Macaca fascicularis: one gene and its partners. The protein of the gene in region 1 interacts with the protein of each later gene in a pairwise test. Links are inferred from orthologs where the notes say so. Each region holds a gene or a part of one and is shown on either strand. Other genes may lie near its edges.

Evidence for each region. The genes of interacting proteins can lie anywhere in the genome.
Region 2: the proteins of HNRNPC (region 1) and RBM41 interact in binary tests that used the Homo sapiens proteins (3 or more experiments, as listed by UniProt). The two-hybrid records come from large-scale screens. The link is inferred for Macaca fascicularis from reciprocal best matches to the Homo sapiens genes HNRNPC and RBM41.
Region 3: the proteins of HNRNPC (region 1) and KPNA2 interact in binary tests that used the Homo sapiens proteins (3 or more experiments, as listed by UniProt). The link is inferred for Macaca fascicularis from reciprocal best matches to the Homo sapiens genes HNRNPC and KPNA2.
Region 4: the proteins of HNRNPC (region 1) and KPNA4 interact in binary tests that used the Homo sapiens proteins (3 or more experiments, as listed by UniProt). The two-hybrid records come from large-scale screens. The link is inferred for Macaca fascicularis from reciprocal best matches to the Homo sapiens genes HNRNPC and KPNA4.
Region 5: the proteins of HNRNPC (region 1) and KPNA3 interact in binary tests that used the Homo sapiens proteins (3 or more experiments, as listed by UniProt). The link is inferred for Macaca fascicularis from reciprocal best matches to the Homo sapiens genes HNRNPC and KPNA3.

What each region holds. Positions count from the first base shown.
Region 1 is NC_088381.1:88,893,804-88,897,303, reverse strand, and holds part of HNRNPC (heterogeneous nuclear ribonucleoproteins C1/C2), read left to right. Parts: intron 1-1,732; coding exon 1,733-1,847; intron 1,848-2,439; coding exon 2,440-2,487; intron 2,488-3,500. UniProt on the Homo sapiens protein: Binds pre-mRNA and nucleates the assembly of 40S hnRNP particles. Interacts with poly-U tracts in the 3'-UTR or 5'-UTR of mRNA and modulates the stability and the level of translation of bound mRNA molecules. Single HNRNPC tetramers bind 230-240 nucleotides.
Region 2 is NC_088395.1:113,706,579-113,710,571, reverse strand, and holds the start of RBM41 (RNA-binding protein 41), read left to right. Parts: upstream 1-1,193; 5' UTR 1,194-1,248; coding exon 1,249-1,256; exon of another isoform or gene 1,257-1,595; intron 1,596-2,090; exon of another isoform or gene 2,091-2,240; intron 2,241-2,995; exon of another isoform or gene 2,996-3,077; intron 3,078-3,930; coding exon 3,931-3,993. UniProt on the Homo sapiens protein: May bind RNA.
Region 3 is NC_088390.1:74,459,201-74,463,300, forward strand, and holds the start of KPNA2 (importin subunit alpha-1), read left to right. Parts: upstream 1-1,300; 5' UTR 1,301-1,404; intron 1,405-2,681; 5' UTR 2,682-2,704; coding exon 2,705-2,779; intron 2,780-2,928; coding exon 2,929-3,066; intron 3,067-4,100.
Region 4 is NC_088376.1:63,526,380-63,530,663, forward strand, and holds the start of KPNA4 (importin subunit alpha-3), read right to left. Parts: upstream 2,801-4,284; 5' UTR 2,511-2,800; coding exon 2,442-2,510; intron 1-2,441. UniProt on the Homo sapiens protein: Functions in nuclear protein import as an adapter protein for nuclear receptor KPNB1. Binds specifically and directly to substrates containing either a simple or bipartite NLS motif.
Region 5 is NC_088391.1:28,951,568-28,955,694, reverse strand, and holds the start of KPNA3 (importin subunit alpha-4), read left to right. Parts: upstream 1-1,327; 5' UTR 1,328-1,386; coding exon 1,387-1,455; intron 1,456-1,605; exon of another isoform or gene 1,606-2,506; intron 2,507-4,127. UniProt on the Homo sapiens protein: Functions in nuclear protein import as an adapter protein for nuclear receptor KPNB1. Binds specifically and directly to substrates containing either a simple or bipartite NLS motif.

The DNA of each region.
Region 1 (3,500 bases):
AAAATTAGCAGGCCGTGGTGGCGGGCGCCGGTAATCCAAGCCGTTGAGGCAGGAGAATTGTTTGAACCCGGGAGGCGTAGGTTACAGTGAGCCGTGATTGCACTCCAGCATGGGCAACAGGGCAAGACTCCGTCTAAAAATATATATATATATGGAATTTGTATATTTTGGGGCATGTGTGTATTAAAATGAGACTAATTTTAAAGCAGTATATATGAAAATGGAGGTATTGTTGACTGAGTGCTTTAGCACGACTGGGAAGTTAAAAAACTGAATTGGCTTTCTGACATGGGGTTTTTAGAACAAGGAGAAGATGAATTCTTGTTTGGAAGGTCATGGGTGGCAGGGTAGGTAGCTGGGCTTATGTGTTACAAATTGTATTTGAAAACTAGGGTTGTTTCCCTTTGCTCTTTTATTTTTTTGATATATGTAAAGGTTATTTAAGCAACTTATGAATTATTCAGAAAGCAGTTGTTAACCCCGGATGTTTTACATGCAGTACAGCTAATCCTTACTTATAAGGGAAATCTGAAGTTGCCTTTGAGGATGATTTGAGGGTGTCACACTGCACTATATTGTTTTGTGGATTGGCGTATATTTTAATATATTTGTAATAATTCGGAATGAACTGAACCATTCTTGGAAAGGTAACCATTGATAGTTTTCTCTTGTAATAGTAACTGAGTGAACAGTCAGTGCCTTGAATGGGGAGAGTTGAGTTAAAGTGGGATCTGAGGGTGGAGAGTACCAAAGACAGACTTAATGTTATGTCTCAGGAACACTTTAGTGGTACAGAACAGAGTGCAAATACATAGAAGATGAAGTCTTAGCCTTGTAAAAATTTATGAGCCTTTTTAATATTAAAAGGAGAGATGAAGCTCAGCATGGTAGCTCACACCTGTAATTCCAGCACTTTGGGAGGTCAAGGCAGATCACTTGACCCCAAGAGTTCGTCCCTATGAAAAACAGAAAAATTGGCCGGGCGCGGTGGCTCAAGCCTGTAATCCCAGCACTTTGGGAGGCTGAGATGGGCGGATCACAAGGTCAGGAGATCGAGACCATCCTGGCTAACCCGTTGAAACCCCGTCTCTACTAAAAAATACAAAAAACTAGCCGGGCGAGGTGGCGGTCGCCTGTAGTCCCAGCTACTCAGGAGGCTGAGGCAGGAGAATGGCGTGAACCTGAAAGGCGGAGCTTGCAGTGAGCTGAGATCCGGCTACTGCACTCCAGTTTGGGCGACAGAGCGAGACTCCATCTCAAAAAAAAAAAAAAAAAGAAAAAGAAAAACAGAAAAATTAGCCAGCGTTGGTGGTGCCTGCTACTTGGATGGGAGGATCACCCAAGCTTTGGAGGTCTAGGCTGTATTGAGCCATTATTGCATCACTGCACTCCAGCTTGTATGACAGTGAGACCCTCTCTTAAATAAAATAAAAAAAAATAGGAAAGATGAGTTGTTTTGTTTCATATTTTCTAATTTTTATGTCTGTGATTTTCTAAACTTTGTATTAGCTGGGCATGGTGGTGCCCGCTTGTAGTCATAGTTACTCTTGAGGCTGAGGCAGGAGAATCCCTTGAACCGGGCAGTGGAGGTTTCCGTGAGCCTAGATGGCACCATTGCACTCCAGCCTGGGCGACAAAGCGAAACTATGTCTCAAAAATAAAAAAATTAACTTTGTAGTTTGTTTTACCTGGATACAAAGTTGTCACTAAAATTTTTGCTTTTGTTTTTCAGATATTAACCTGGCTGCAGAGCCAAAAGTGAACCGAGGAAAAGCAGGTGTGAAACGATCTGCAGCGGAGATGTACGGGTCAGTAACAGAACACCCTTCTCCGTCCCCTCTACTCAGGTCCGGAAACTTTATTATTTATAACTGCATTGTGTCCATCAGTGGGCATCTTCTCTATCTGTTTTCTGGATGTGGGGAGGGTTAAGTGTACTGTGTTTTATCTGTGTATAAATAAGGTTTCATTATTTTTGTGTTAATATGTCTCTCTTTTGCCCTAGCGAAAATTACTAGAGAATTAAAAATCCCTGAGGTTTTTGCTATTGATGTTTAGGAGTAGTTTGATATTTATAGCATAGCCTGAAATACTTCTACAGGATCGTTGAGCTTCTAAGACACCAGAGAGTAAGAGAGGGAAGAAGTGTGGTATAAGAATGTTTAGTTTACCATTCTGTTTTTCAGTGTTCAGTTTAACTATGTCGTATGTGGAAATCTTAGTGAATTTTAACCTGAATTACCAATTTGACCACTACATTTCCAGTGGTCTAAGGTGATTGGAATTGAGTGATTTATTGTATGAATGATTGGGGATCATTCAGTGCTAATCTTGTTGATCTATCTGTTGTGGTTTATTTGGCATGGTTCTCCCCTCACCTGATGTTGTGAATTAGTAGCAGCGTTTCCAAATTAACCCTTTTCGGTATTTATTTTTCAGCTCCTCTTTTGACTTGGACTATGACTTTCAACGGGACTATTATGATAGGTATGTTAAAAGTGTTTTGCCTTTCTGCTAAACAGCTATTAATGAGAACCATTTTGTTTTTCTAGTTTGTGGTGATGAACATCAAAGATGTTTCCAAACATACTCCCTTTCCTCCAAAAGAAAAAAATAACCTTAAGTAGATTATTAGGTAGGGTGATAATGATTTTAATGCATTATTTCATAATGCCTGTTTCTACTAAAAATACAAAAGAATTCGCTGAGTGTGGTGACTAGGGACTGGGTTATGGGTGGCTTTGGGTAATAGATTTAGAACTGATGATAGCAAATACTAAACAAGAAATAGAATGATGTGCTTAAGAGTGTTACCACATTGACAATCTGATATCAGTCTCAGTTAACATGAAGTAAATGTTAGACTTATTTGGCTTGTCGTGTTTAAACTCATGCAGTATATGTAAGTATATGGAGCAAACTATTATATGCAATACACTTTAAAAATGCAATATATAAAGCGCATTACTTTATATGAAGCATAGTACTACTATTTGTCTTAGAATACCAGTATTCTAATCATTAGTATTTTAATGTTATTGCTGTATATAACAATTCTGTCTCTGATTTTGGAGTAAAAATTACTGATTGACAAATGCTTAACGTTTGAACTGAGTTAATCAGTCATCCATGGGAGTTGTGTAGAGGAATCAAGTCAGCTGTTAAATACCATAGAGTATACACTGAAAATGTCAGACATGAAAGTATACACTTTCTGTTTGAGAAATAACGTCATAGAATATGGCAGGTAGTCATTAAAAGGCCAGAAGAGTAAGGCCTGAAAAAGAATTTAAATCCAGATTGTAAAGGGCCTTGAATGCCCTATTAAGATGGTGCGGTTGAGCATACTTAATGCATCATCAAAATGTTTTTTTTTTTTATTTGACATTAGCGGTTTCCTCAGATTGTTGTTGTTGTTTTTTTTTTTTAAGATGGACTCTTGCTCTTGTCACCCAGGCTGGAGTGAAGTGGCGTGATTTTGGCTTACTGCAACGTCCGCC
Region 2 (3,993 bases), on another chromosome or scaffold:
GAATGATAGTAGGTTAGAGGATATATAGTATTGAGGACTCTATTCATAACTGAATTGCTGCTTTAAAGGGAATGTACATTTATGATTTTAGTAGTATCCTCATTTGCCCCCAATAGATGTTGTACCAATTTATATTCCTACCACTAGTGTATTGAGAGCGCCTGTTTCCCCACAATCTCAATAAAACAAGTGTGTTATCAAACTTTTGGATCTTTCCCAGTCTGTTAGGTGAAAAATGGTACTTTAGTGTACTTTTAAAAACAAACTTTAAGTTTTAGAACAGTTTTAGTTACAGAAAGGTTGCATAGTACAAAGTTCCACATACCTGCAACTCAGTTTCCCTTGCATAACTCTGGTACATTTGTCACAGCTAACGAACCTTGTTATTAACTAAAGAGCATAGTTCATTCACATTTCCTTAGTTTTTACCTCATGTCTTTTTTTCTGTTCCAGGATCCCATTCAAGATACTACATTACTTTAGTCATCATGACTCCTTTGGTTCCTTTTGTCTGTGACAGATTCTCATGTTTTTGATGACCTTGCTATTTTTAAGGAGTACTGGTAGTCAGTGCACTTTAAAATTTGTGAGATTGGACATCTTTTCATACACTTAAAGACATTTGCATTTCCATTTCTCGGAACTAAGAGCCCATGCTTTTAACCACTATACTATACCTCTTTCTTGATTCACCATAATTATCAGTAAAACATTTGTGAACCTGAATACACACAGACTTCTGATTCTAAGTGGACAAAACTCTCAAGTCTCTGTTACAGATAGAGGAGAACCATTAATACAGGTGATATAGTCAGACTCGTGTCTGATGACTCTGGCTACATCATGAAGGATGAAGCAGAGGCTCTACTGGAAACGGTAGGTAGGCTGGATAAATCCTTGAAAGAAAAGCAGTGTTGATAAGAAGTTCAAAGGAAATTACAGAAGAGCCAGGAATTAGTGGTAATGAATGAGAGAATCAAAAAGTCAAAGGTGACTCGGTTTTTTGAGCTGGATATTTTGGGTCTTATTTTGAACCTAGATGAGCAATTCAAAATCAATATTTGGACAATGTTCAGCATACCTGTCACTCGAGACCTACTTTCTCTTTCTGTCGCCATAGCTCTGTGCTACTACAATTCCCAGAGCCCCATGCTCCATCACAATCCCCTTAGAGTCCGCCGCGCGGAGTTCTGGGACTTGAGGTCCGCGGCCTATTTACGCAAGTTGGAGGTAGGGGCCTGTGGAAACATGAAGAGGTAAGGACTTGTCTGAAGAGCAGGCGGCAAGGGGAGCTCTCTTCTACTTTTTCTTTTGAAAATGGCTTCAATTGCTTTCTGGTTTGGGTATTGCACGTTCTCGGGATGCGATTTCATGGGAGCGGGAAGACGACAAAGGAGACGGGAGGAGGGGAGACGGGCTGAACAGGCCTGCAGAGCGAAGGTCAGGAAGGGCTGCCACCGGGCCCGGCTGCTGTGGGTATGCCCTCCCGGCATGGGCCCCGGGAGCTGGCCAGGTGCTGCGGCCTCGTCGTTTCACACGGACCCAGCTAGGCAAAAGGGTTTGAGGCTGACCAATTCCCGGCGCCGGAGATGAAGGTACCTCGGGCCAACCCCTCCTCGTCCTCCCCTACCGCCACCTCCACCTGAGAAAGGCTCGGGGCCAGCGTATTTATTTGCAACGTCTGTGTGTTGGAGACTACTTGCTCGGGCCCCGAAACCATATAGCGCTTTCCAATCTTAAAGTAAAGGAGCGGTACTTTGTTTCTAAATGTAGAAGGAGAGCACCAAAGCGGTTGGATTTTTGGGATGGGGGGAGGGGAGGTGGAAGGCATTGCTGGGCTCAGTTCCCCTTACTGGTCCTGAGGTAAATGGCCGCTTGAGCCTAAACGGCCCGAGCCTCCCAACTATTGACAGGCTTAAATTAATTTTTAGATTCACGCTGCAAGTAGAATCATCACTCTGGAATAGTGCAGTGCGTTTAAAATTCTTACTGATATGTTTTCCTGCACTGTCAGTTCCTTGCATCTTTTAAAAAACCGTTTTTGACTTTCCCTGCCTGAAACTAACCTTTAACGTTTTTTTTTTTTTTACAGTATCTCATCCATGCAAAATAATGTATAATGTATATATACAGCTTAAAGAATAATAAAGGTTCGCATCCACTGCAAGCTTCAGAAATAGGACATTGCCAGTCCCTTAGAAGTCTACTGTGTCTTTTCCCTCCCTTCGTTCCCCTCTGAGGTGACCACTATCCGGAATTTTGCGTTACTGATTCCCTTGCTTTTAAAAAAGCAAATAGTTTCTAGTACATATGAATTTATCCCTAAACAAAATGTTCCTAGTTTTATCTATTTTTCAACTTTATACAAATGGACACATATATTAATTTTTCCGTGATTTGCTTTATTTTTTTACTCAACATTTCTTTTTGAGATTCATGTGTGTTGATGTCTAGAAACTTTAAACTTAGTAAGAAGTTTTGGGATTCTAAGTAATAAAAAATTGAGATACTTAAAATGAATTTTTTAACACCTTGGGCCTAAAGATAATTTAGAATTTTCCAAAATAGGGCCAAGTCTTTCTAGAGCCTGGGAATATTGTTTTTAATTATGGGTGTTAGTTTTTCTAGACTTTATCATAACCTCACTGGGAAAGAGCTATTTTACAAGGAAAGTATTTGATATTTGGTTTTTTTCCTGGAGTTAATTCATTTTTTGTATTTTTTTAAAATAATCTGTTGTTTCATGCTTAAATGGCCCTGTTATTTCTTTACACTCTAATAAGAGTTTTTAATTACTTAGTTAGTAGATCATGCTAGCCATGGCCTAGATTTCTACACAGTGGTGCCCAGGCTATAAAAATGTTAGGACCATCTTCATATTTCTTTCTGTATTCTCTCCTTGGAGATCTCCTCCTCAGAGCTCCAGATCTTGTTATCACAGATGACTCAAGATTTATACATTCAGCCTCGGACTCTCATCTCTCATTTTCCCTTTAGCCAGTCACTCATGCTGTCCCTTCAGAATCATGTATTTGAAGTACTCCTGATACTTCATGCTGGCGTTTCTATTGTAAAAGGTACTAGACTCAACATGACTAAAACAATACTGACTTTCCCTTTCCCAAATCATTTATTCCATCTAGAGCTTTGGCTTTCCTTCATTGGTACCATTGTTCTCTCAGTTACACAGACTGAAATTTTGGGATTATCTTTGACTTCCTTGCCTCTGCTTCCAAAAGTCCCCTCTCATCTAACCCTTTCTTTCCATTTTCACTATTACCATTTCAGTCTAGACCTTCATCACTGTATACTTCACTAGTTTCATAACTAGTTCTTGTTTCTTCCCTTTGAATCTCTATGGCATATTATAACCACATTCATCTGTCTAAACTATCACTTGCACTGTGTCACTTAACTGCTTGATAAATTACTACTTCTCATTATCCTTCAGTATATATTACTGTCCCTTTGTACTCTCTTTTCCTGTTTTCCTTTTCTTCATCACACACTTTTCAATGTCAGCGTAAGAGTACCTTTCTGAAGTCTTCCTTTACCACCTTTTTCTACCAATTTTCTCTTCTGTGAATTTCTACTAATTTGGCCTATGCTTCTATGTGTTATTATTCTCTCCTCCCACCGCCGACACAACACGTACATACATGTTTTTTCTCCCTAAATAGATTGTGACCTTCTTAAGGATAGAGACTATGTCTTAAACACCTTCGACTTCCCTCAGTACCTAGCATAGCGCATTCTGTGTAGACAGGTATTTAGTAAGTGTTCATGGACTAAATGGTAAAGGGCAGTGAATTGTTGGAGAAGTGTCTTTGAATAAATGGGGTCTCTAATGGTAGATAATATAGATAAGGAATATATTTTGAGACTCACAGTCTCTACTGTTTTCTGTATATATTCTTATATCTACTCCAGGGTAAACAGCTGTGTGAAGAGTGATGAGCATGTCCTGGAGGAGCTGGAAACAGAAGGGGAGAG
Region 3 (4,100 bases), on another chromosome or scaffold:
ATTCTTGCATTTAGGGGGATGGGATTATGCTGATTAAGAGTAGGTGCAACCCTTTATGAACTCTGGCTGCTATACAATGAATGAGGCTGGCATTAATGACTGCAAGAATGGACAAATTTGGTGTTTGAATTTATTTATAGTAAGAAATAAACCATGACAACTTTTCTAAAATGTAATCTTTTAGAACACAAAAAAATTGCAGAAACAAAAATGGCCCATAATCCTGATGCTCTGTTGACCATCTTTGTTTTGTTTCTTCGTTTGAGCATATAGCAAAAAATGCAAAATTCAGAAATGTGTAACGAGCATAGAATGTTACTGGAACAATTGACAAAACTTGAACACAGACTACATACTAAACAACAGCATGAAATTTCAGTTTTTCTGAATTTGACGACTGCAGTGTGGTTATGTAAGAGAATGTCTTTTCTTAGGAGATACACCGTGAAACAGAGGAAAAAGGACATGATTCTGAAACTCTCAAATGTTTCAAAAAGTAACATATTGAAATCACACATAGGTACACATGTGCATAGGTATACATATATATGTATAGAGACATTGCAGTAGCAAATGTGTTAACATTTGGCAAATCTGGATAAGGATTTGCAATTCTGCTGCATTTGAAATTATTTAAAAATACAAAACTTGAGTGTTTGGAGAAACAGGAATAAGAAATATTTTGTTACTATATTTGCGGCTTCTATACAGTCTTTTACGACGCAATTGAAAAAAAAAACTAAACTAAAAAATATAACATAAATCTTCCCTCCCATAGTGGCCAGAAACCCCTGCCAAGTTCTTCGGATATCGTAACAGGAAAAAAATGCAAAGCAATATGTCTTTCTATAAAGATTACTTATTTACTAATTATCATTTTTTAATTTTCATGAAGATCAACAACAAAGTTTTTTTAAAATAATGACTTTGAGAATCATTTTGCGGTATTTGTTCAAGGCTCTCGCCCAGGAAAACGCCCAGGGACCATGCGCGCTTCAATCCAGTGGAAACACGAACGGCCCAGGGACCGCCCCTTCGCGTTGCTTGACGGGATCTGGAGTCCTCCCGCTCCGCCCGGCCAGGCGCTCGGGAACCGCCCGTCTGCTCCCTCATCTCGCGATGCCATCCTCCTTTTTTTTTTTTTTTCCCCCCCTCCCACTCGCCCCTAAGCCCTATGACTCCCTCCCCTCTCAACGTGTTTTTCAAATCCACCAATGGGCACACAGCTTGGGCTCGAACCAGCCAATCGGAATGCGGAGTCACCGGGAAATTTAAATCGCGCCGGCCGGCTGCACGAGCCACACGGTCTTTGAGCTGAGTCGAGGTGGACCCTTTGAGCGCAGCCGTCCCACAGCCGCTGATTCCCCGCATCGCCTCCCGTGGAAGCCCGGGCCCGCTTCTCAGGTACAGACTCAGGCGGCGGCTCGGCCCGAGCGCTAACGGTTTGCCCGCGGGCGGCGTTCGCCTTTGGGTGGGGGGAAGGAGGCCCCGGGTCCACGCCGAGCCTGGCTCAGCCTCCCGCGTTGTCTAGGCCTCGGGGGCGACTGGTTCATTGACCAGGCGGCTGAGTTTCGCGGGGTCTGCGGGTTTAGGGCGCCGACGCTCTTCAAACGGCAGCGGAGACCATAACGCGTCGCGGCCGGGAGAATCGGAGCGAGCCAGGCCTGAGGGCGAATGTCCCGGGAGGGCTCGTGGCGGCCCTGGCCTCGCTTCCCCCTTTCTCGTTGCATCTTCCCCGACGTAGGGGCAGGGGCAGGGGCTGGGGGTGGCAGTTGGGAGCACTGTCTCTGACACTTTGGCCCCGGGGTGGCTGTGCCACCAAGTCGTAGGCGAGCGTAATGAAAGCAAAGATAGCAAATTGTAAGGAGGGCTTTGACTTTTGTCGTCTTCTGAATGACGCACAGCTGATGTCGTCCTAATTAAGTGCATTCGCTCCTAGTCTCTGGAAATGCAAATCAAATATGCGACATGCGGCACTGCATTTTTAATGTTGACCATAATGTAATGATGAAGCAAATTTTTTTTAGTTTTCGAATCTGCACCTATTTTGGCCAAGTAAAGACAGTAAAGTAGTGCGAGCCTCCTGAGAATCTGAATTTATTGCCCTGGCACATAATTTTTAGCTGTAAGTTAACTTGGTTCCCCTGCTTTGCCTTGGATTAACTATTAGGGACTCTGGAGTATCGAGCCAGGCTGTCAGAAACGGTGGACACACGTGGCTAGTCCAAATTGAAATACGCTGTAAGCTTAAAGTACACAAAAGACTTCAAAGATAGAGTATGGAAAAAGAATGTAAAAGATGTCAGTTATTTTATATATTGAAATATATATGTTGAAATACTATTTGGATATGTTGGGTTAAGTAAAATAAATTATTGAAATTAGTTTCACTTGTTTCTTTTCGCCTTTTAAAAAGTATGGCTACTAGGAAGTTTCAATTTATATAGCTTGCATTCTATTTCTGATGGACAGCCCTCTCCAGGAAGTCTCAGCGCTTCAGAGGGAAGGGGGACAGTTCCCGTTTGGGTAAAGCTATTTCATAGTGCTGAAAGCATGATGATCCCCCCTCTAGTATACAGGTGTGGATTCAGTAGATGCTTGATAATTCAATTCTTATTTGGTACTATTATTGACAAAGGAAAATGATAAAGGAAATATTTTTCTCCTCGCCCATCTTTTAGCTTTCTCCCTTTGTCTCATAACCATGTCCACCAATGAGAATGCTAATACACCAGCTGCCCGTCTTCACAGATTCAAGAACAAGGGAAAAGACAGTACAGTGAGTACCTTCTGTTGCTTTCCTGTGGTGGTGTTTAAATGGGAGGACATTTGGAAAGGGGTGAAAACTTAGGGATCTTTTTAAAAATACCCTCACTTAGCAACAAAAACTGATGTGATAGGTGAAACGGCATGTTATCTTTTCTCAAGGAAATGAGGCGTCGCAGAATAGAGGTCAATGTGGAGCTGAGGAAAGCTAAGAAGGATGACCAGATGCTGAAGAGGAGAAACGTAAGCTCATTTCCTGATGATGCTACTTCTCCGCTGCAGGAAAACCGCAACAACCAGGTAAAAAATGTATTTTGGTTTATGAGTTACGTGAAATCCAGAAAATCAGTAGGAACTTTTCTTAGAAATTCCAGTAAACTTAACATTTTTAGCCTTAGGTTGTAACTATCTGTGAAGATCTTTTTCTCTGTTCCCAATTAGTAATTGTCTTCTTTCCTGCCTTCCATAATCCACTGAAGCTGATTTAGGATCTTCCTTTAGCTCTGACCTTCCTTCAGACTTCCCTGCATTTCTAGCTGCTAACTGGGTACCTTGACCTGACCACTGTGTCCAGAGCCAACCAGTTTCTGGTTTATTCTTTTTTTTTTTTTTTCCCTAGACGGGGTCTTGCTTTGTTGCTCAGGCTGGAGTGCAGTGGCACAATCTTGGCTCACAGCAACCTCTGCCTCCTGGGTTCAAGCAATTCTCCTGCCACAGCCTCCTGAGTAGCTGGGATTACGGGCACGCACCACCATGCTTGACTAGTTTTTGTATTTTTTTTTTGTTTTGTTTTTTTGAGTTTCCCTCTGTCGCCCAGGCTGGAGTACAGTGGTGTGATCTCAGCTTACTGCAAGCTCCACCTCCCAGGTTCACGCCATTCTCTTGCCTCAGCCTCCCAAGTAGCTGGGACTACAGGCACCTACCACCCTGCCCAGCTAATTTTTTTGTATTTTTAGTAGAGACGGGGTTTCATCATGTTAGCCAGGAAGGTCTCTGATCTCCTGACCTCGTGATCCACCCGCCTCGGCCTCCCAAAGTGCTGGGATCACAGGTGTGAGCCACTGCCCGGTCTGTTTTTGTATTTTTAGTAGAGGCAGAATTTCACCATGTTGGCCATGCTAGTCTTGAACTCCTGACCTCGTGATATGCCTGCCTTGGCCTCCCAAAGTGCTGGGATTACAGGCGTGAGCCACCAGGCCCTGCCCGTTTTTGGTTTATTTCTGCCTTTTTTGGTATTCTCTCTTTTTTTGTATTTGTCACCAGCTTTGTTCAGGACTTTCCTTCTGAAATATTTACGGTAGCCTCCTAAGTTATCATTTCCTCCTTTCTGTGCC
Region 4 (4,284 bases), on another chromosome or scaffold:
TTAAAGTCACCAGAGGACAACCATAAGGCACTATGAATTTCTAAACAAACAAACAAACACCCTCGTTAATGTCAATGTATACTTGTTTTTTTAAAGTCACACATCACAATCTTCTTCTAATACAGCCTCAGCACTTAATCTGATTTTGACTAAAGTGCTAAAAGATATGAGGTAGGAGGAAACATCAATTTAAAAAATAAGGATAACTTCAGAAAGTCTGACAATTCCACCAAAGGTTGAACGCCAGTTTCCATATGATCTAGCAATTCTATTCCTAGGCATATAGCCAAGAGAAATAAAACATACGTCCACACAAACATGTTCTTAGCAGTATTATGTAAAATAGCTAAAAAAGTGGAAACAATGAAAATGTTCATTAACTGATGAACGGATAAATAAAATGTGGTATATCCATGAGCTGGAGGATCATTAGGTCATAAGGAGAAATGAAACACTGATACATTCTTGTTACGACATGGATAAACCTTGAAAACATTACACTATGGGAAAGAAGTCAGTTACAAAAGAGCACAAATTGTACAATTCCATTTATATGGAATGTCCAGGATAGGCAAATCTAAGAAGACAAAAAACTGGTTGCCTGGGGCTGGGGTAGTTGGGAATTGGAGAGTGACTGTTAATGAGTACAGGTTTCTTTTTGGCGTGGTGAAAATGTTCTAAGATTGATTGTGGTGATGGCTGCAAAACTGCGAATACACTAAAAGCCACTTTAAGTGGGTGAATTGTATGCCATGTGAATTACATTTCAATGAAGCTGCTAGAAAAATGAAGCCAGAAATGTAGAGGAAAAAAGGGTTACAGGGATCTGTCAAGCACCTAATTGCTCTTTTTCTGGATTCTGTAATTTTGTGGTAATTATCAGTTTTTAAGTTTTATCATTTGTGATTTTTTTCTCATTCTAAGTATTCATATTAGTAAAAAACATTTTCACCACCACAAGTAAATTTACTGAAAAATCATTGTTATTTAAGCAGCTCATTTTTATAGCATGCGAATTATCTCAATAAAGATGTGACATCTTTGTATTAAAAAAGGGATCACAACGGTAATATGTTAACCTTAAAAGAACCACAGAATTAACAGCCCTGGACACTTAGTACTCCCTCAAATTATGAAACCCACTAAAACGCATAAACTACTTTAAAGATAATATTAACAGCTTTGTAAAAAGCCCAAAAAATATTTCAGTCAAGCAAACGCTCAAGTTCAGAAATGTCATGGGAAGTTGAAGATTTCATTACGAAAACATACCGAGGAACAACATAAAAAATACTGCTTGACCACTTTCCCTAAAAGCTAAACTCGTGATTAAGATGCAGAAGGGAAGTATTAAAATAAATCTATTTATCTAAACTATTAAAGCTGAAGGGAAGAAGTCTTCTATCAAAAATCTCAGTGGGGTGTGTGGGTATGCGTGTGTGAATGCATGTATTTAAACCATACGCCCCATGTAGACAATCTGGGGAGCAGCTGTATCTAAGACAATGATTTTTTTTTTCTTTTTTAAATAATCAAACGTGATGGTGCCATTCCCTAGCCCACCCCATCCCCCACTACCACCACCAGCAGGTGGAGGGAAAGGATACTGTAGACTAGAGGATGACAGCTTTGTATAACCCTTTGGACTTTATATGTAAGAATGCAGCTGGTGGTCTCCTCTCAGGAGGGGGTAAAGAGATTTGTGGACAAGCTGAAATAAGGGGTATCCTTTGCCTGGAAGAGGGCACACCGTGAGCCACATCTTGAATCAGCTATATCCAGAGTAAAACACAGGCCGCTGGAAGGCACTGTTAGCATCACCAGGATGGCCTCTCACGCCGGGGGTGTTTTTTTCAACGGAGAAGTTGTCCTGTAGTTTGGATATTGGGGGGAGGCAGGGGTAAAGCGGGAGTCGGGAAGACCAGAAAAAATGCCTTTAAGTGGAGACGCCTCAGGCCTCGCTGAGGAAGTTCAGAGCCCCACTCGGTCGCCACACGCTCACCCTCCCACCCCCACCGCCCTCCTTCCCGCAGCGCCAGACGTCGGTGCCCGAGCGAGAGCCGGAATCTCCGCCGCTGCCAGGGAGGGCCGCGGCCCGGGCCGGGCAGCGCCGACCGCACACGCACGCCTCCTCCGCACGCGCCGCGCCCGGCCTCCCCGCCGCGCGGCCCGACCCCTCGCACCCGCGCCGGGCCGGCTCTGCCGGGCAGGCCTAGGCCGCGCCGGCCGTACCCGGGCACCTCGCTCCCCGGCGGAGGCGGAGCAGGCCCGACATAAACTTCCCGGCGCGCTAGCAGAGGCGTCACGGACGGGCCGGCCCCCAGCGCCATTCCCCGAGGCCCGGAGGCGGCTCCCGCCCCTACTCCCCACACTCGGGGTCCCGGCGGAGACCGGCCCCAGGCCCACGGCCCCCACCCCTCCGGCGTCGTCCAGCAGTTTACCTCCAAGTCGCGGCCTTTGTTCTTGAAATTCTTGAGCCGTTGGTTGTCCAGTTTCTCGTTGTCCGCCATGGCCGGGCCGGTGACTCCTTCCCCCGCCCGGGCCCCGCGGGATCCGCCCCAACCACCGCGCCGCACCGACACTCCCAGGAACCGGGTCGCCGCCTGAGCTGCTGTGCTCGCCGCGCCGCCGCTTCCTTCCTCCTCTCACCTGCCTCCGCCGCGGCCTTCTCCTCTCCCCGCCCGCCCCCCCGCCCTAACCCCAGCGCGACTGCAGCTCCGGCAAAGACAACTGTGGGGCCGGGCGGCGGCAACGGCGGCGGAATGTGCTGCCGGCTGAGAGGGGGAGGCAGCCTCGATCTGAGGGCCCCGGAGCTGCGGCCACGCCCATCGCCTCCAGCCCAGCTCGCCCATTGGCCAACCAGGCTCCGGTGCGTTCGACCAATGGGAAGGGGCGATGGAGAGCCGGGGCGGAAAGAGCGAACGGAAAGGGGAAGCGAACGACGCTGGGAGGAGCCGGCTCGGGGCCGGGAGGGGTGCGGCTGGGGTAGGCAGGGAAGGACCACGTGCCTTCGGAGAGATGGGGAGGAAGCGACAGAGAAGTACACTTCAGGGGAAACCAGCAAGGGGAAGGAGAGGCCGGGGAACGCAGCAGGGCGAGTTGTTTTGCATCACTCGTCCGGGAAGCCCTAGATGCAGGGGTCCAGGGTCGAGACTGCGTTAAAGTAACGTTCTTCTCTCCCCGGGCGCGCCCTGTCTTCCTGGGCATTCCTTGCGCTCTCTGTTCGCTTTGCAGAGAGATCTGAGCTTCGCTCTTTCCCAGGTCGGACGCTCGCAGCTCCGTTCCCGGGCTGGGGCTCCCTGCCGTCCAGGGTCGAGTCTGGGGGCCAGGACCTGCAGGGATGACGTGAGTTGAGGAGGCTCAGCGGAAAGCGACAGGAACGCTGGGTGGAAAAGGAAAGGGCCCAGTAGACGTATCTGATTTATCTTCTGTGACTAAGCGCCCGCAACAGGTAGGAATTTAGGCAGAGCTGGTGATCCTTGGACAATAGCACTTCCTAGGTAATTCGTCTTAGAAAGTTAAAGAAGCTGCTTGACCACAAAGTATGAACTTCTGGAGGGCGGAGCCCGTGGCAGCTGACAGGGAATATTGTCTGTTGAGAAAGGAAATGAATTCCAGGGATACCAGGGACAACAACATTACCAGAGGCAGAAATGACACGAGATACAAAAGAACGTATTCAAAAATTTCACAAAACAGAAATGGAAAATTATCTTAAAATATATTGAAATATCAACGAATAACATCTCAAATGTCCAGGGATATGTAAAGCAGCAACTCTGGTCGGAAGCAAGGAATCGAGGCGTTGGGTGTGTTTAAACTTGGCTAGGCAGGGAGAAGAGACCCTGATACAAACTCCTTCAGAATCGTTGACTCCCGGTCCTTTCTAGTGTATTTTTTGAGCAGAACAACGTGCAGAGATAAATGTTTAAAATGCATATGTTTCTTAGGGAAACACTTTTAAAGCCAACAGAGGGGAATTTTTTTTTTAAGTTAAAATGGAAGAAGTCAGTGGGTTTAACAGATGTGAACAACTGAGTTTCCTTTGGGGGAGAGGTAATGAAAAGAGCCGGAGTACTTTAGGAATCACTTTGGAGAGGATATTGTAGTGGGGGAAAGGAAAGTAAAAACTTAGGAAGCAGAGTAGTACCTTTAAAGTCGTCAATACTTTATAGACCATCAACTGGGCTATGGACAACAGAAGCTGTGCCTGGGAATAACTCACACTGAAGGTTAACTTGAATATAAATTTAGAACAGATCTTAAATACAAATGATGATGTTC
Region 5 (4,127 bases), on another chromosome or scaffold:
GCCACCACGCCCAGCTAATTTTTGTATATCTAGTAGGGAAGGGGTTTCACCATGTGGCCCATGGTTGGCCACACTGGTCTCGGTCTCTTGACCTTGTGATCCGCCCGCCTTGGCCTCCCAAAGTGCTGAGATTACAGGCGTGAGCCACCGCACCCGGCCGAAAGCAGTTCTTTATCAGTGCAATCCATCCAAATTTCCCTGTTTCATTCCTTCGATGCCCCCGGAGGGAGTGGGAGTGCTACACAGGAAAGTGTGCGACCCAGGGCTTGGCTGCTGCCTGAAGGCTAAGATTATGTGTGGTGGTAGAACAAGAAGTGTTGGGGGCATGGAAATACAGGGACTGCCAGAGTGAAGGTTGCAGAACCGGGGTTGGGAGGATGATGAGAAACTGGGCGACACTAAAGCGCCACTTCAACAAGTATTTATTGCGTATCTACGACGTGCTAGGCATTGTTTTGACACTAGAGATTCAGCAGTAATTCAACCAAAGTACCTGCTCTCATTGAGCTGAATTCCCGTGCGGGCAGCCAGGTAACGCACGTAAACACTCGTATCACGTAGATACACATGTACATGTCAGCTAGAAATAAATGCTATTTATAAAACTGAAGCAGAGCATGGACACAGCGAATGAAGGTGGCTGCTATTTGGGAAGACCTCCAAAAAAGCGAGACTGCGAAGCACCCGCGGTTGTTCTTTTTCTGATTTTCTACCTACCCGCAGCGAGGTGCGCTCCCAGAAAGCTCCGCCCTCTTCCTCCTGATAGGGCGCAAGGTGCCAGGGAAGCTCCCCTCTCTTCCCCGCCCAGAGGCCGCCTTGTGGGGGCGGAGCTTTGCGCCCAGCAATCTGAGCGCGGCGCGCAAAAAGCCGCGCGCGCAAGGGTCCCGGCATTCTCCTCGTTCGCACTAGGCGTGGAGAATTACCCCAGGCGGATCGTGGCATGCTGGGAACTGTAGTTGACGACCGCTCCCCCGACCCGCGCCTGAGGGGCGGTAAAAGCCGCCAGGTCCGGCTCCATTTCTGACACCAGACTTGCAGCACTCAGGGGTTGTGGAGAGCCCTAGCAGGGAAAGAGGGCAGGGTCATCCCGAGAACCAACTGGCACGTCCAGCCCGGCGAACGCCCAAGCCGGTCGCCGCCCCCGGTCACGTGTCGCCAGCCTCCACGGGCGCGCGCCGCTCTCAGCACTGTTCCCGCCCCACCCGGCCCGGCAGTCTGCCCGCGCCTCCCCCGGCGCTACTGCCACCTCGCGCTCGGAGGCGTCACGGAACGTGCTCTCCTCTCACCCTCCCCCCTCCTGCTCTCCTCCTCCTCCCCCTCCCGCGCCGAGACTCGCCGCCGCCGCCGCAGCCGCAGGAGTAGCCGCCGCTGGAGCCGCGCGCAGCCATGGCCGAGAACCCCAGCTTGGAAAACCACCGCATCAAGAGCTTCAAGAACAAGGGCCGCGATGTGGAAGTGAGTGTGCTTCCGTGGTCTCGGCCCGCCTGGCCGCGCCGGGCCGGCGACGCGGGGAGGGGCGGGGGGCCGGCGCCGGGCTGGTTCTCGTCGGCTTGTGGTCGGCCGGAGTTGGCCGCCGCCTCCCGTCACCGCGGCCCCGGGTTGGGCGGAGCGGGCGGTGAGACGCGGGCCGGGCTGCAGTCACCCTCCGAAGCTGCCGGCGCGGCGACCGGGAAATGCCGGGGTTTTCGGCCCCGTCACGCGGGCGCGGCCTTGTGTCGGCGAGGAGGGGATGTGGAGCTGAGGCGGGGTCCGCGGGCCGGGGCCGCCCGAATGAACGGGGATGCTGCCGCCCCGGCCCGCCGACCGCACAGCCGAGGGGGCGGCCGCTGCTTGCGCCCGCCGCTGGTGCAACCTTCCGCCCGGTGCAGCCCCCTCTGCGCCTCCCGCGCGGCTGCACATGGAGCCTCGCCTCTGCCGGTCCCGGCTGCTACCTTCTGCTAGCCGGGCCCAGGCGGGCGGTGGCGGCCCGCAGAGGGGGGTGGGGACCAGCCGGGTAACTGACTTGTTTGAGGGTGATGGATGGGGGAGGGTAGGATGCGCCAGGACCATTTTCTTATATTCCAGTGCTCGTCTTTGGACTAGTCGTGCCGAGCTGTTCTAGCTCATACTCCTGCAACTGCTGGCATTTGGAGCGAGCTGAAGGTGGACAATAGTTTGCCATCTATTGTGTTCAGGCTTCGGAAAAGAGGTTGTTCTGACCTCCGCTCATAGGACTTGTTTTCTTAGCCTTTCTTGGAGTGGGGTGTGCATAGAGTGATACAATTTCTTTGACACGTTTTACTAAAATAAATTGGATACATAGGGTTCATACGTCCTCTTACGTACCTCTTGCTCCAAGCTAGTAGAATTTCCAAGTGGTTGCAAAACTAAACATTCATCGCGGTCACTCAGTTAGTTGCTACTCAGCATGTTGCCATTGTCTCATTAAGGTGACATTAGCAGGTACTATTTGCAAACTCGGCTTGTTGAGGCAGCGCTAGAGGTCTCTCTGCAGCTACTGAAAACAGTAAGTATAATGCACAAACTTCACTGGGACCGTGACCTTTGGATTTGTTAGGGGGAAAATAGTTTTAAGGCCACAGCCTTCTTTTCTAATACTAGCCGACATGATTTGCAGTTTTGTAATTTTTGGTAAGAAGCTGGTGTGATTAAGAGGTGTGTATTTTATCCTATCTTAAGGAAGGTTGTGGGGGTAAATACACCATTCAGCGTTCTATTTTGTAGAGAAACAGACAAACTCAGGCCGTTTTTCAGAGCTACAAAATTAAATACTAGTAGGAAAAAACCTAGGGAGATATCCGTGGAATTCCCATTTAAATGAGTCAAAGATCATATATTCTTTCCTGGTCATGGTTAAATATCCTTTGTGAGAAATACATCTAAGCAAAAGTAAAACTTGGGAATAGACACAAGAAATTTTGGAACTGCCTCCTGTTATCGGTCCACTTGATGACAAGTGTTAATTTTGAACTTTTCCCATTAGGAATTTTTCTTGACGCCTACCCTGTTCCAAATAAAAATGTATTGAAAAATACTCATATTGTTGGTACAGAAGAACCAGTAACATTCTTCCTTCTCTTGGATATTGGTACAGGTTTTTGTTTCATTGTTTACCTCTATTATTGTGTTATGGTAGCTCAGTGATACTTAGTAAGGACTCCTGCACATAATAGGTACAAAACAAATATTTGCTGATGATAAGAATGTAACCAGTGACTTTTAGATGCATGAAAAAGAGCATGGTTGCTAAGCCATTCAGCCTGGTGTTGGTCACAACATTACATTTCTCGGGACTCTACAGGGTAACTAACACATGAAATAGACATTCAAATGGTAGTTCTAATGTGACAGACACTGCGTTAAGAGCTTCATGATACCTTATTTAATCTGTGTAACAAGTGTATGAGTTAGGTGTGGCATTATCCCCACTTTACATGAGGAAAGTATTTTTTGAGACGGAGTCTTGCTTCTTTACCCAGGTTGAAGCGCTCAGGCACTCCTAGCTCAGCTGCAAGCTCAAACTCCTAGGCTCAAGGAATCTTCCCACCATGGCCTCCCAAGTAGCTGGGACTACAGGCAGACACCATCACACCTGGCTAATTTTTTAGTCTTTTGTGGAGACAGGGGTCTAGCTTTATTGCCCAAGCTTGTCTTGAACTCCTGGGCTCCGGTGATTCTCCCACCTCAGCCTTCCAAAGTGTTGGAACTACAGATGCTAGCCATCACACCCAGCTGGAACTTTAGGTACAAAACCTCAGTGTGCTTATGTAGCCTGTGCATGTCACTCAGTGGATATGGGTATTATTTATTCACTGATTGTCTATGGGTATCTATCAATGTTAGGTCTTGGGGATAAGGAATAAGATGCAGTCTGTACCTCAAGGAGTTTACAGTCCAGTGGGGGTGATAATTACAATGCAGAACAACAATTGTTACAGTGTAGTATTCCGAAAATGCATGCCAAAAAACTACTTGGAGGTGAGCAGAAAGGGAAGATACTCTGGTTGATTTCTAATGAATGAATGGGAGTAAGCTGAGTGTGAAGGATGAAAGAAAGGTGGCCAGGCAAAGAGCGGGAGAAGACCGGTGGAAGAAAGGGGCATTCCAGACCAGAGGGAGCAGTAATT